Schizosaccharomyces pombe: one gene and its partner. The protein of the gene in region 2 interacts with the protein of the main gene of each other region in a biochemical or structural test. Each region holds a gene or a part of one and is shown on either strand. Other genes may lie near its edges.

The links.
Region 1: the proteins of rsp1 (region 2) and ips1 form a complex in vitro, tested with the Schizosaccharomyces pombe proteins (one study listed by BioGRID).

Annotation. Positions count from the first base shown.
Region 1 is NC_003423.3:1,315,610-1,320,476, forward strand, and holds ips1 (GIDA family tRNA uridine 5-carboxymethylaminomethyl modification enzyme), read right to left. Parts: upstream 2,886-4,867; 5' UTR 2,768-2,885; coding exon 767-2,767; 3' UTR 611-766; downstream 1-610. Other genes in the region: karyopherin/importin beta family nuclear export signal receptor Kap109, read left to right, coding at 1-574; transcription factor TFIIH complex subunit Tfb4, read right to left, coding at 3,929-4,011, 4,074-4,867.
Region 2 is NC_003423.3:1,492,552-1,497,649, forward strand, and holds rsp1 (random septum position protein, DNAJ domain protein Rsp1), read right to left. Parts: upstream 2,601-5,098; 5' UTR 2,003-2,600; coding exon 518-2,002; 3' UTR 501-517; downstream 1-500. Other genes in the region: mrps28 (mitochondrial 37S ribosomal protein uS15m), read right to left, coding at 1-270; sws1 (SWIM domain-containing Srs2-interacting protein 1), read left to right, coding at 2,601-3,230; aminophospholipid translocase regulatory protein Ivn1, read right to left, coding at 3,545-4,468, 4,691-4,829, 4,888-4,940. UniProt on the Schizosaccharomyces pombe protein: Has a role in the proper organization of the interphase microtubule cytoskeleton.

The DNA of each region.
Region 1 (4,867 bases), 180 kb from region 2:
GCGTTTCGTTCTGCGATGCACGATTTTCTTCTTTTTTGTTGCTTCTGAGCAAACGGGTACTTGCGGCCCAGATAATTTGATCCAAGGTGTTGATGCAGTCCAGTCTGGAGTATTTGGCCAATTGATGACTTCAATTATTCTTCCTCAAGCACAAAAATTGGCGCTTCCATTAGATAGGAAAATCAGTGCTCTTGGATTACTGCGACTTCTTACTTGTGATCTAGTACTCGCCCCAGACGCAATTTATGAGAATCTTATTATCCCATTATTAACTTGTATCCTCAAATTATTCGAAATGCCTATTGAACAAGCTCAAACAGATGCAGATGAAGAATTGTTTATGGACGAAATCGATGCTGATTCGATGTCATTCCAAGCTTCCTTTTCCAGATTGGCTACTACTGGCGGAAAGAGGGTTGATCCATTCCCTCAAATTACTGACCTTAAGCAGTATTGTGCTACGGAAATGAATCTTGCTAACAGAAATATGGGTGGACGTTTATCTCAAATCATTAGCACGCATCTTCCTGGCGACGGTCAAAGCGTGCTTCAATCATATGGTTACGTGATCTAATATTTATGAAATGAAAATCATCAGAAATCAACTTTCTTGATGTTTTTGTTTAAAAATTTGGGTGTAAATTTAGAAAATAAATGTTTTCATAGAGAAGCATTTATTAAAAATTGTATTTGGTTGTCAAATATTTTTTAAATGAGATTCATATCATTATTTTATCCTATTATATAGTGAAAATTAAGTCGAGAGTTATAAATTTGTAGATTGGTTTTCTTCGCTCGAATGCATATCATACATTGGCATATATACCTTTCGTAACCATGCCTCTTTTGCTGGGTTGTAATATGTATGGCGAAGTAGTCGAATAATAGTTCCTGGTTTAATCCCTTGAATGCGTTTCAGTTGACCAATTGTAGCTGGACGAATCGTCTTCAGCAGCATTAATTCTTCAGCCGAAACAGAATGTAAAGTATCAAAATCAAAATCTGAGGGTATTACTGTAGATTCATCTCTACAATTGAGTTGTTTATTTTGAGTACCTTGACGCTTTATATAATAAGTATACTTTCCCTCAATTATTAAACGTTGTAGTACCCTTTTGGGAATGTCCTTTAGTTTAGGAATGCACGAAATAACACAAAAAAGATCCAAATTTGTGAAGCTCAACAGATCCCAAGCACTTCTATATTTCCCGTCATTAGGAATCGGCATTCCTAGCTTTGACCATTGCTGAGGACTTAAAATGAACTCCTTGGCGATTTTATTGGAAAAATCTAACAAAGATTTAGTTCTTTGAAAGCTTTCCCAATGAGTTTGGTCGTCCAATAAACCTATACTTTGAGCTAATGGAGTCAATCTTAAATCAGCATTATCAGCACGTGTAGTTAACCTATACTCGCTTCTCGAAGTGAACACCCTATAAGGTTCTTTCACACCTTTTGTAATAAGATCATCGACCATTACTCCAAGCAAAGCTGTATTTCTCGGTATGTCTACTGGCTCACGACCAAGAGCACTTAAACCTGCATTTAAGCCAGCTAAGATACCTTGCGCTGCTGCTTCTTCATAACCCGTCGTTCCATTTATTTGACCGGCCAAGTACAAACCCTGAATTTTTTTTGTTTCCAGTGTTGCCTTTAGTTGGGTGGGGATAACATAATCATACATAACTCCATAAGCTGGTCTCACAATATTACAATTCTCCAGGCCTGGAATAGACCTTATTATATTGTGCTGAATTTCTTCAGGCATTGAGTTACTGAGACCATTGGGATACCACCAAGAATTGGGGTCCAATCCTTCCGGTTCCAGCCAAATAAGATGTCTTGCTTTGTGAGGGAATCTTGTAACCTTGGCTTCCAATGACGGGCAATACCTTGGAGAAAGAATATCACCAGCAAGCATATGGGGAGCAAAAGCGAGATTTTTCCTAACAATTTCATGCGTCAATTCAGTTGTATAAGTTCTGTAGCAAGAACGTTGTGGCAATGCCGGTGAAAAATCCCTTTCCAAATTTAAAAAACTAAATGTTTCTGGAATTTCGTCACCTGTCTGCTCTGTCATTTTTGATATATTTATGGGAGAGCTCAATCTGGGAGGTGTACCTGTTTTTAGTCGACCCATTTTAAAACCTAAATTGCTAAGACATTTACTCAAAGGCAATGAAGGTCGCTCGCCATATCGACCAGCAGCTAACTGTGTTAAACCAACATTTATTTGTCCTCCTAAGAAAGTACCAGTAGTAATGACTATACAACTGGCAGGAATAGCAGTGCCATCTTCAAGAACAATTGAATCACAAACTTGTTTACCATCGTCTTCTGTCAAAACATTAATAGAGACGGCCGCGCCTTCTCTAACTTGAAGATTTTTTCTATAAGTTGAAATAGTTTTTTGCATATTTTTTTTGAAGACCGACCGATCCATTTGTGCTCTGGGACTCCATACAGCTGGTCCATTCGATCGGTTCAACATGTGAAATTGAATTGCTGATTCATCGCAGACACCACTGACAACACCACCCAAGGCATCTATTTCTCGCATTAGTGTTCCTTTTCCAATCCCACCGAAAGCTGGATTACAGCTCATTTGTCCAATATTGTCGAAGGACTTTGTTAAAAGAGTAGTTTTCGCACCTAATCTAGAAGCAGCAGCAGCGGCTTCCACGCCAGCGTGTCCACCTCCTATCACTACGACATTCTTCCGGCGATTGAAGGAGGTGCAGAAATATCGCTTTGTTGTTCGAAACATTTGTTCACCCCAAATAAACTATTTCAAAAACATACATAAGGACCTTTTGTTAAAGTACCGACAAAAAAATGCACAAAATATATTTGAGTTATGCGTAAAGGTTAATGATAAATTTGTTGTTGAGGTCTTGCTGAAATAAAACGCTATATAGTCGGGAAAGAGCTGTTAAAAAGCACAGTCAATCAAAAATTCTAAAATTAGTGGAAAATAGACATTCAGGATGTCAGAAGTTTGTAATTGAATCTATCAACAGATTAGGCAATGGTTGTAATGCTCCTAAGGTTAATCAGACTAATTTACGTCTGAAATCTGAAGATTTAGAACAAATATATTACAACCTTTTTATTATTTTTCCTTTTTTAAAAACTATGAATATCTGATTGCAGAATAAACGAATTTAAGAAAATACTTTTTTTTTTTCAAGCTTGTCGTCACTTGTGAGTTTGAGAATATTCGGGCAAATAAAAGTAAACCGGCTCTATTAGTATGAATTATCAATCCGCGCTTTTATTGCTCAGTACAGAAATTCAGAGGTTGAGTTACATGTAAAAACCAAGATTCGTAACCTTACTACAATAATCAAACCAATTCATTATAAATTGCATTCATATAGATCTCAATGTAATATAACTTTTCTGATTAAAAAAGCTTAAAAAAAGCCATTGTTAAAATGATCAAGCACCAACATTAGAGATGCAATAGATTATAAACAGTAGAAAGGAAAGTTCCTGTGAAATAATTTCTGTCAGCATCTTCAACATTAATGATTCGTTAGTAAATTAATTAAAGAATAGTATATAATTTCGTCTTACTGCACTGTTTGGAAAAGAAAGAAGCCAATGCAACTTGAAGAAATAATAGAAGAAGCTCTAAGGAAATAAATAATAATAGGGTACGTTGGAATGAATTAGTTGCTTATACGTTAAGTTTCTACTTGTGGATGCCCCTTAAGGAAATAGTTTGATCCTTCCGAAAAATGTTAACATTTCAAGTGTATCAAAATGCCAGAAAGTAAAAATCGCCAAAAAAAAAGAGCTAGACTGTACAAATCACCAGGATAAGGAGATTTAGGTAATGAAAAACAGGGTTTCAAATATGATAAAGCTGTACACCCGGTGTGAGACAAAGAAATATATAGTTTAATAATAATATAACGAATTATCAAGTGTGCAATTTTTTTGACATAGGTTCTACCGTGAATTTGGTATGACAAGTAGAACAATGCACCCGTGGTTCACAAAATACTAAAGAGGTTAGCAAAAGGTCAAATGTTCAAAGCCTATCGTAAAGCTTTGTTACTACTTACTTGATAGACAAACTGAGCAAACAAAGCCAATATCCAAAACCTTTTTGTGGCAAAAACATGTAGCTCGAAAATCAACATTCGCTTGGTTTGGGGTATTTAAGTGTTTTCGAAGATTTTGATCCGGAAAAAGCGACATCATGAGATATTGTAGTAAGCCTTTGGGGTTGTCAACTTTTAAGTAAATCCCTCCTGTGGCATCTGCTGCTTGTTCTAAAAACAGGGTGCCTCCCTCAATGTTGCAAACGTTAATTGGAATATTTTTCTTTTGAGCACAAAATATACAATTCATAGTAGGAATATACTGAAGAGCAACATCACCAGTTAATGAGAAAATTAGAATTCGAGAACGAAGAGTATTTTTATTTTGAACTTGATTGATATATGCAAGGGCTCTAGATAGTGCTCCGGAAATCATCGTTTTTCTTGAAACTTTATCAGTCGAACTCATGAGTCGCTTCATCCCAGATAAAACTAAGTCGTCTACCTCACGAAACTTTCGATACGTATTTGCCTCCTTGGTAGGATCTACTTCTGCGACTTTTTGCTCAGGTGCAATCGAAGGGTATAGGTATTCAACCTTGTCCGAGTGTGAAGCTAACACAGCAACTCTATTATCATGATGAAAAGCTAAGTGTGCGTTTAGAAAAACCGTAATATCTGCCAGTACCTTGGAAACAGGCACTTTTTTGGAAAGGGAGTACCATGAGGCAGGATTTGCGTCTAATATAACTACAAGCAAACTGGGTGTATCATTTGCGTCTTCAGATATATCCCACGAGGCATTTTGTTTCAAA
Region 2 (5,098 bases):
CACCAATATTTCGTACGGCTTTAATAATCTCGCTATCCATTCACTCGAATGTCCGATGATAGGGTCAGCTAATGTATCCAAATTTTGCTTTCGCAGCTCTTCCCTTCTTTTCAAATTTTGTTTGCGACGTTGGTTGGCTTTTTGTTTTTTTAAACCTTGTAAAATGCATGTTGTATGAAACTGAGACTTTTTGTTTAATAAAAGGCATTGTTGCATCAAGTTTGTAGACGCCAATTTCCAAGGCTGAAAAGCCCCTTCAAAAAGTCTCATCTTAAATTAACTGAGTAATGTAAAATAAAATGAAAAGTCGTGCTACAATTCGCTCCCTGAGTAAGCTATTAAACACATGCCCTTTTTACAAAGTCGTTGGTTCTGGTGTATGCTTGAAGTATGGGTAAGTGAACTGGGTAAAAAATAATATTAATAAATTGAATGTTAAACGTTATGAAGAAGAAATAAAATTTTCAAATAAAAATTTTAATACTAAATTTAATACTTAATGAGGAAATAATAATCATTATATACCAAAAGATGCGAAAAGGCTTTCCTTTAAAGATTGTAGTTCTTCCAAAGCTCTCAAATGCATTTGTTCATATGCATAAAATAACTGTATAGCTTGTGACCCTTCCTTCCAATTATCAATTAATCGTGATTGTCCAGGAGTATTCATTAAGTCGAGTTGGAAGCATTTATTTTTGAAGATTTGCCATTGAAATGCATACTGTGTATAAATGATAGAATAAGACGACCAGCGTCTCTGATACATTTCAAAGGAATTTAGATAGCTATCTACAGAGGCATTAGTCAGGTTTCTCGGTGCCTCTGGAGGGATGGGTGCCTGGATAGTTGGAACGGATGGAGGTTTGGGCAGCACTTTAGCAACTTCATCATCATCCCCTTCAATGGCAAGGGATCTCAGTATCGACTGAAGCTGGTCATCATACTCAGTCGAGTTAGATGTTGAATCGTTCTCTGCGGACAAGTCATTTAGCTGAGACCGAGTTTGATTTCGAGAAAGAGAAGAAGATTTAGAACGACTTAAGGGCTTAGGGGGTAAAGGTTTAGAAGTGGGATGTCTAAATGGAATTTCAGGTTTTGATGGTGAATTATTATCAGAATGCTCAAGTTTTATTTCAGGTGTGATATCAGTTTGATAAACGGATGGGTGCTCTGGAGTGTTTGGAGAAGTAAAAATAATAGATTCTTCAGATGTATCTTTAAAACGTTCATTATTTGATGAAGAAGAACTTCTTGGAGAGGATTTTGTTATTGAAGAATTTTCAACACCATTGGAATTCAAACCATTGGATATCTCAGACAACGGAGTATAGGTGCGTCGCTTTTCACGAAGCGATTCTAAATACAACTTGGCATTAAATTTATTATAGTTAGGGCCTTTAAAACGAGGACTACTAGAAATTGGATCCACCACGTTTTCAGTAGCATATCCATTCTTCTTAAAAATTGGAGACGTTTTTGGATGCAAATAACCAGATGATATGTAGCTTTTTGAGGTAGATACCTCTTTAAAGCTATTGTTCTTTTCCATTTTTCCGGAAGCGGAAAAAGATCGATGAAGTGAGAAGTTTGTGATATTGTTATCTTTCGAATCTACGTTTTCCCGGTCTTGTTTCTTCTTTTTTTCAGCAAATTTGGTAGCCATTGTGACACTAACCTTGGATGCAACTTTCGTGGAAATATCATTCTTTGGTCCACTTTTTTTTGGACGGAATCGCAGCACCCCATCAGGGCGACCGGCTTCTAGTAATCTTCTTTGATCAAATAACTCTCGAAGCTTTGGATCCTTTAAAACTTCATGAGCTTTTTGTATCAACTGAAACTGTGGAAGAACCTCGGCTTCCCGACCGGGGTTACGATCGGGATGGTATCGTAAAACAAGCTTTAAATATTGCTGTCGAATTTCGACATAACTACTGGTACTTTCCGCTCCAAGGATGGTGTAATAATCCACAAATTCATCATGAAACGCCGTCCTCGCCATTCACGAGCCTTTAAAATATGCGACACCTTTCTTAAAAAGATAAAAAAGTTTGAAATTGGTTTATAAAACTTTTAAATTTCACCCAAGTAATGAAACCTTTGTAACTAACCGATTTTTGAGGTTTTCCTGAAACTGCTCGAAATAGTGTTTTCGACTTAAATTAACTTGTAAAACGTTCGTTCCTTTTTCTTTATTTTCGCAAATATTAGTTAAGAAAAATAAAACGAGTTAAAAATTTTAACGATTAAACTCTACTTTGTATCTTCTATACTTGACTAGAGCAAACAAAGACACCCCTCGAATTTGTGATTTTTACAACTTCATTAGTTTATAGCTTTGCTACGTGTTTTCCGCTTATTAGAACAAGCGAAAGCAAAGCAGATTTTTGCTGTTTTGCTTTTGGTAAGAGTTGATGAACAAAGAAGTAGTGATACTTTGAAACGAATTTGCTAATCTTTTTGAAGAGCCTATTCAATCATCCAAACTTGTCAGCATAAGTCAATAAATTAGATTATTATCTTCATTGTCATCAATTGTGTTTTCTGGATGTTGTTTGAGCTTTATGTTTTGGGGCATTGCTGAGTCTTAATAAACTTCAATGCAGCAGGGTCATTTTACTTCGAATAGTTACCACAGTAAAACTTTAAATAGTTCATCTCTACCTGTATCTTCAAAATTTTCTCACACTAATGATCCTGATGTTGAAGGCGTTGACAATGATAGTTTCTCCAAGGCATTGTGTAACAAAGATTTAGATCCTTCTTCCACTATTCGTTCAGTTATAAGCTCTTTATTAGATTCTTTACAAGATAAAGCGCTCCAACAGTCACCCAACACCTCTTTGTCAAAATTACTGTTGGAAGACCAGGATTTTGGAAGCTTGTGGTTGTCATTAAGTTTTATATTTTGTAACTACTGGCAACCTGCTATGCTGATTTTGGATTCTAAAAGCATTCATCCACTACCATTAACCGATGGTGAAGTTTTACATCGATGGGAATGTGAAGTGGATTCGAATAATAAAACTACGATTGATTTGAAGTATTGGTATTGTTCATGCTCTCAATTCTCTTACAATGCTTTTAATAGCTCGAGATCTTTTGACGAGCCAATGCCCAAAAATGAGCAAGAAACCTGGGGTGGAAGATGTCTTTCCCACCACCCTACGATTTGTTCCCATATTTTAGCTGCTTCGATTTTACGTGCTTGCCATAATCTGGTAATTTAAAAAACGTTAACCCAATTCGTTTAATTGTGACTTGACTATGATATTTAACAGTAAGGGCCGTTTAAATTGCTTTCTCAATGTAAAAGAAGAAAATACGATATGATATTCATACAACGTGATTAAAAAAAAATGTCTTATTCAGATTATGTTATGCTTTAGTTATGATGCAAGTTCATGAACCCTGAACTGGTATAAAAAAGAGAATATTGTAAGTGGAAGACGAAGCTAGCATAAGTGATTAAATGGAAAGTAAATTCCAAAATGTTCATGAAGTAGTATATGTAAAAATAAATGGTAAAGATACTCAAATTCGTTTATGAGCTTTTTCCTCTATTCCAAGATAGATATCTTGGATCGCCTACGCGTCTAGGTTTGATCAAGCAAGCAATACTAAGGATTACACCGCTCGCGGCGCAGAGCCCACCGATAACAAAATAAAGAATTCCTAAAAAGTAGTTCTTTCCTCCAATAACGGATGTTGTTGAAAACATAATAGTTTTCGTTCCTTTATATTCTGTGACAGGAAAGTTATAAGTGATATTCATTTCATAAATGCCAGGTTGAAGTGCAGTAGTAACGTTTCGAAGAGCAAGTTTGCTGAATGTTGGAAGAGCAGCAGCTCTCATCCAAATTTGAAAGGCATCCCATGTAGAAACATCGGGAATATTGTCGTCAGTATATCCATTGGGAAACATTTTTGCCCAATTTGGAGGTGGAACAATTTGGGAAGCATTGTACTTAGTTTTTTTGTATCTTTCTCTATCTTCCGGCCACGCAGTACCATTTGTAGTCATATTGTAAAGTCCAAGGGAATTTGAGCTATCAAAGGATTCGTATCGTAGAAGAGAAGAATAGCTATCGTTGAAAAGCGAGTTTGCGATAATGCCACAGGGGTAATAAGGTTTCCCTTCCTCATTTGCTTCTAACGGCTTGCAGAAACCATAGCTCTTCAGTTGTGCAACAGTTCGTGCTTCGCCTAGCAACTGAAACATATCGGCGCTAACAGTATATCGACGATGGTTTTGATAAAAATTTTTGAGACGATAAAAAGCAAACACGGGACTCGTCATTTCCTCAGGTATTTGGAAACGAAGAGTACATACATCGCCTGATGATTTCCACATCGCTGTTACATTTTTTACATTTTTATATTGGAACTCAATATTCGTGGAAGGAACTTGTTTAAACTCATCGCCTATATTCATGCAATCAGTATAGTCAATTCGCAGCTCTTTGACCTAATAAAATGTTGATTAGCAAATGATCTAGAAAAAATGATATTTTCGGTAACGTTCGGGCTACACGTGTGCTAACACCGACAAAGGATAAGGCTATAATCAGATAAAAATTATTCGCAAATAATCATATCTTTCCAAAATACAGTAATGTATTGCAAAATATACCCAGTTTATCAATTTGAAACATATAGCTCTATGGAAACGCGTGATGCTTAGACTTACCCGTCGACTGGCCACAAACATGCCAGCTCCCAAAGGAGCAAACACTATGCCTAATAAGAATAATAACGGCAAGACTGTCCATGGTGTGAATATAAACTGCCAAGCAGGAAGTGTTTGCTGAACAAACCGAGATTTGTCACTACATACGGATCAGTAAACCAATTTGCCAAAAAACGAATGTAATCAAGACAACTTACGGGCGCTTAAATCTCTTATGCTTTGGTTTTTTAACTATTTCTGTTTGACTCATAGTATATAATCAGGCATTCAACAATGCTTACGAATATGAAGAATGCAAGATTAACTTGGTCCTTGGTAAAAGTGCGAGACTGCGCAAAACTCCATCATCACCTTACTCTCTCGCTGTCACTTGGGTTAGCAGGTTATATGACACAATTTATATGTAAA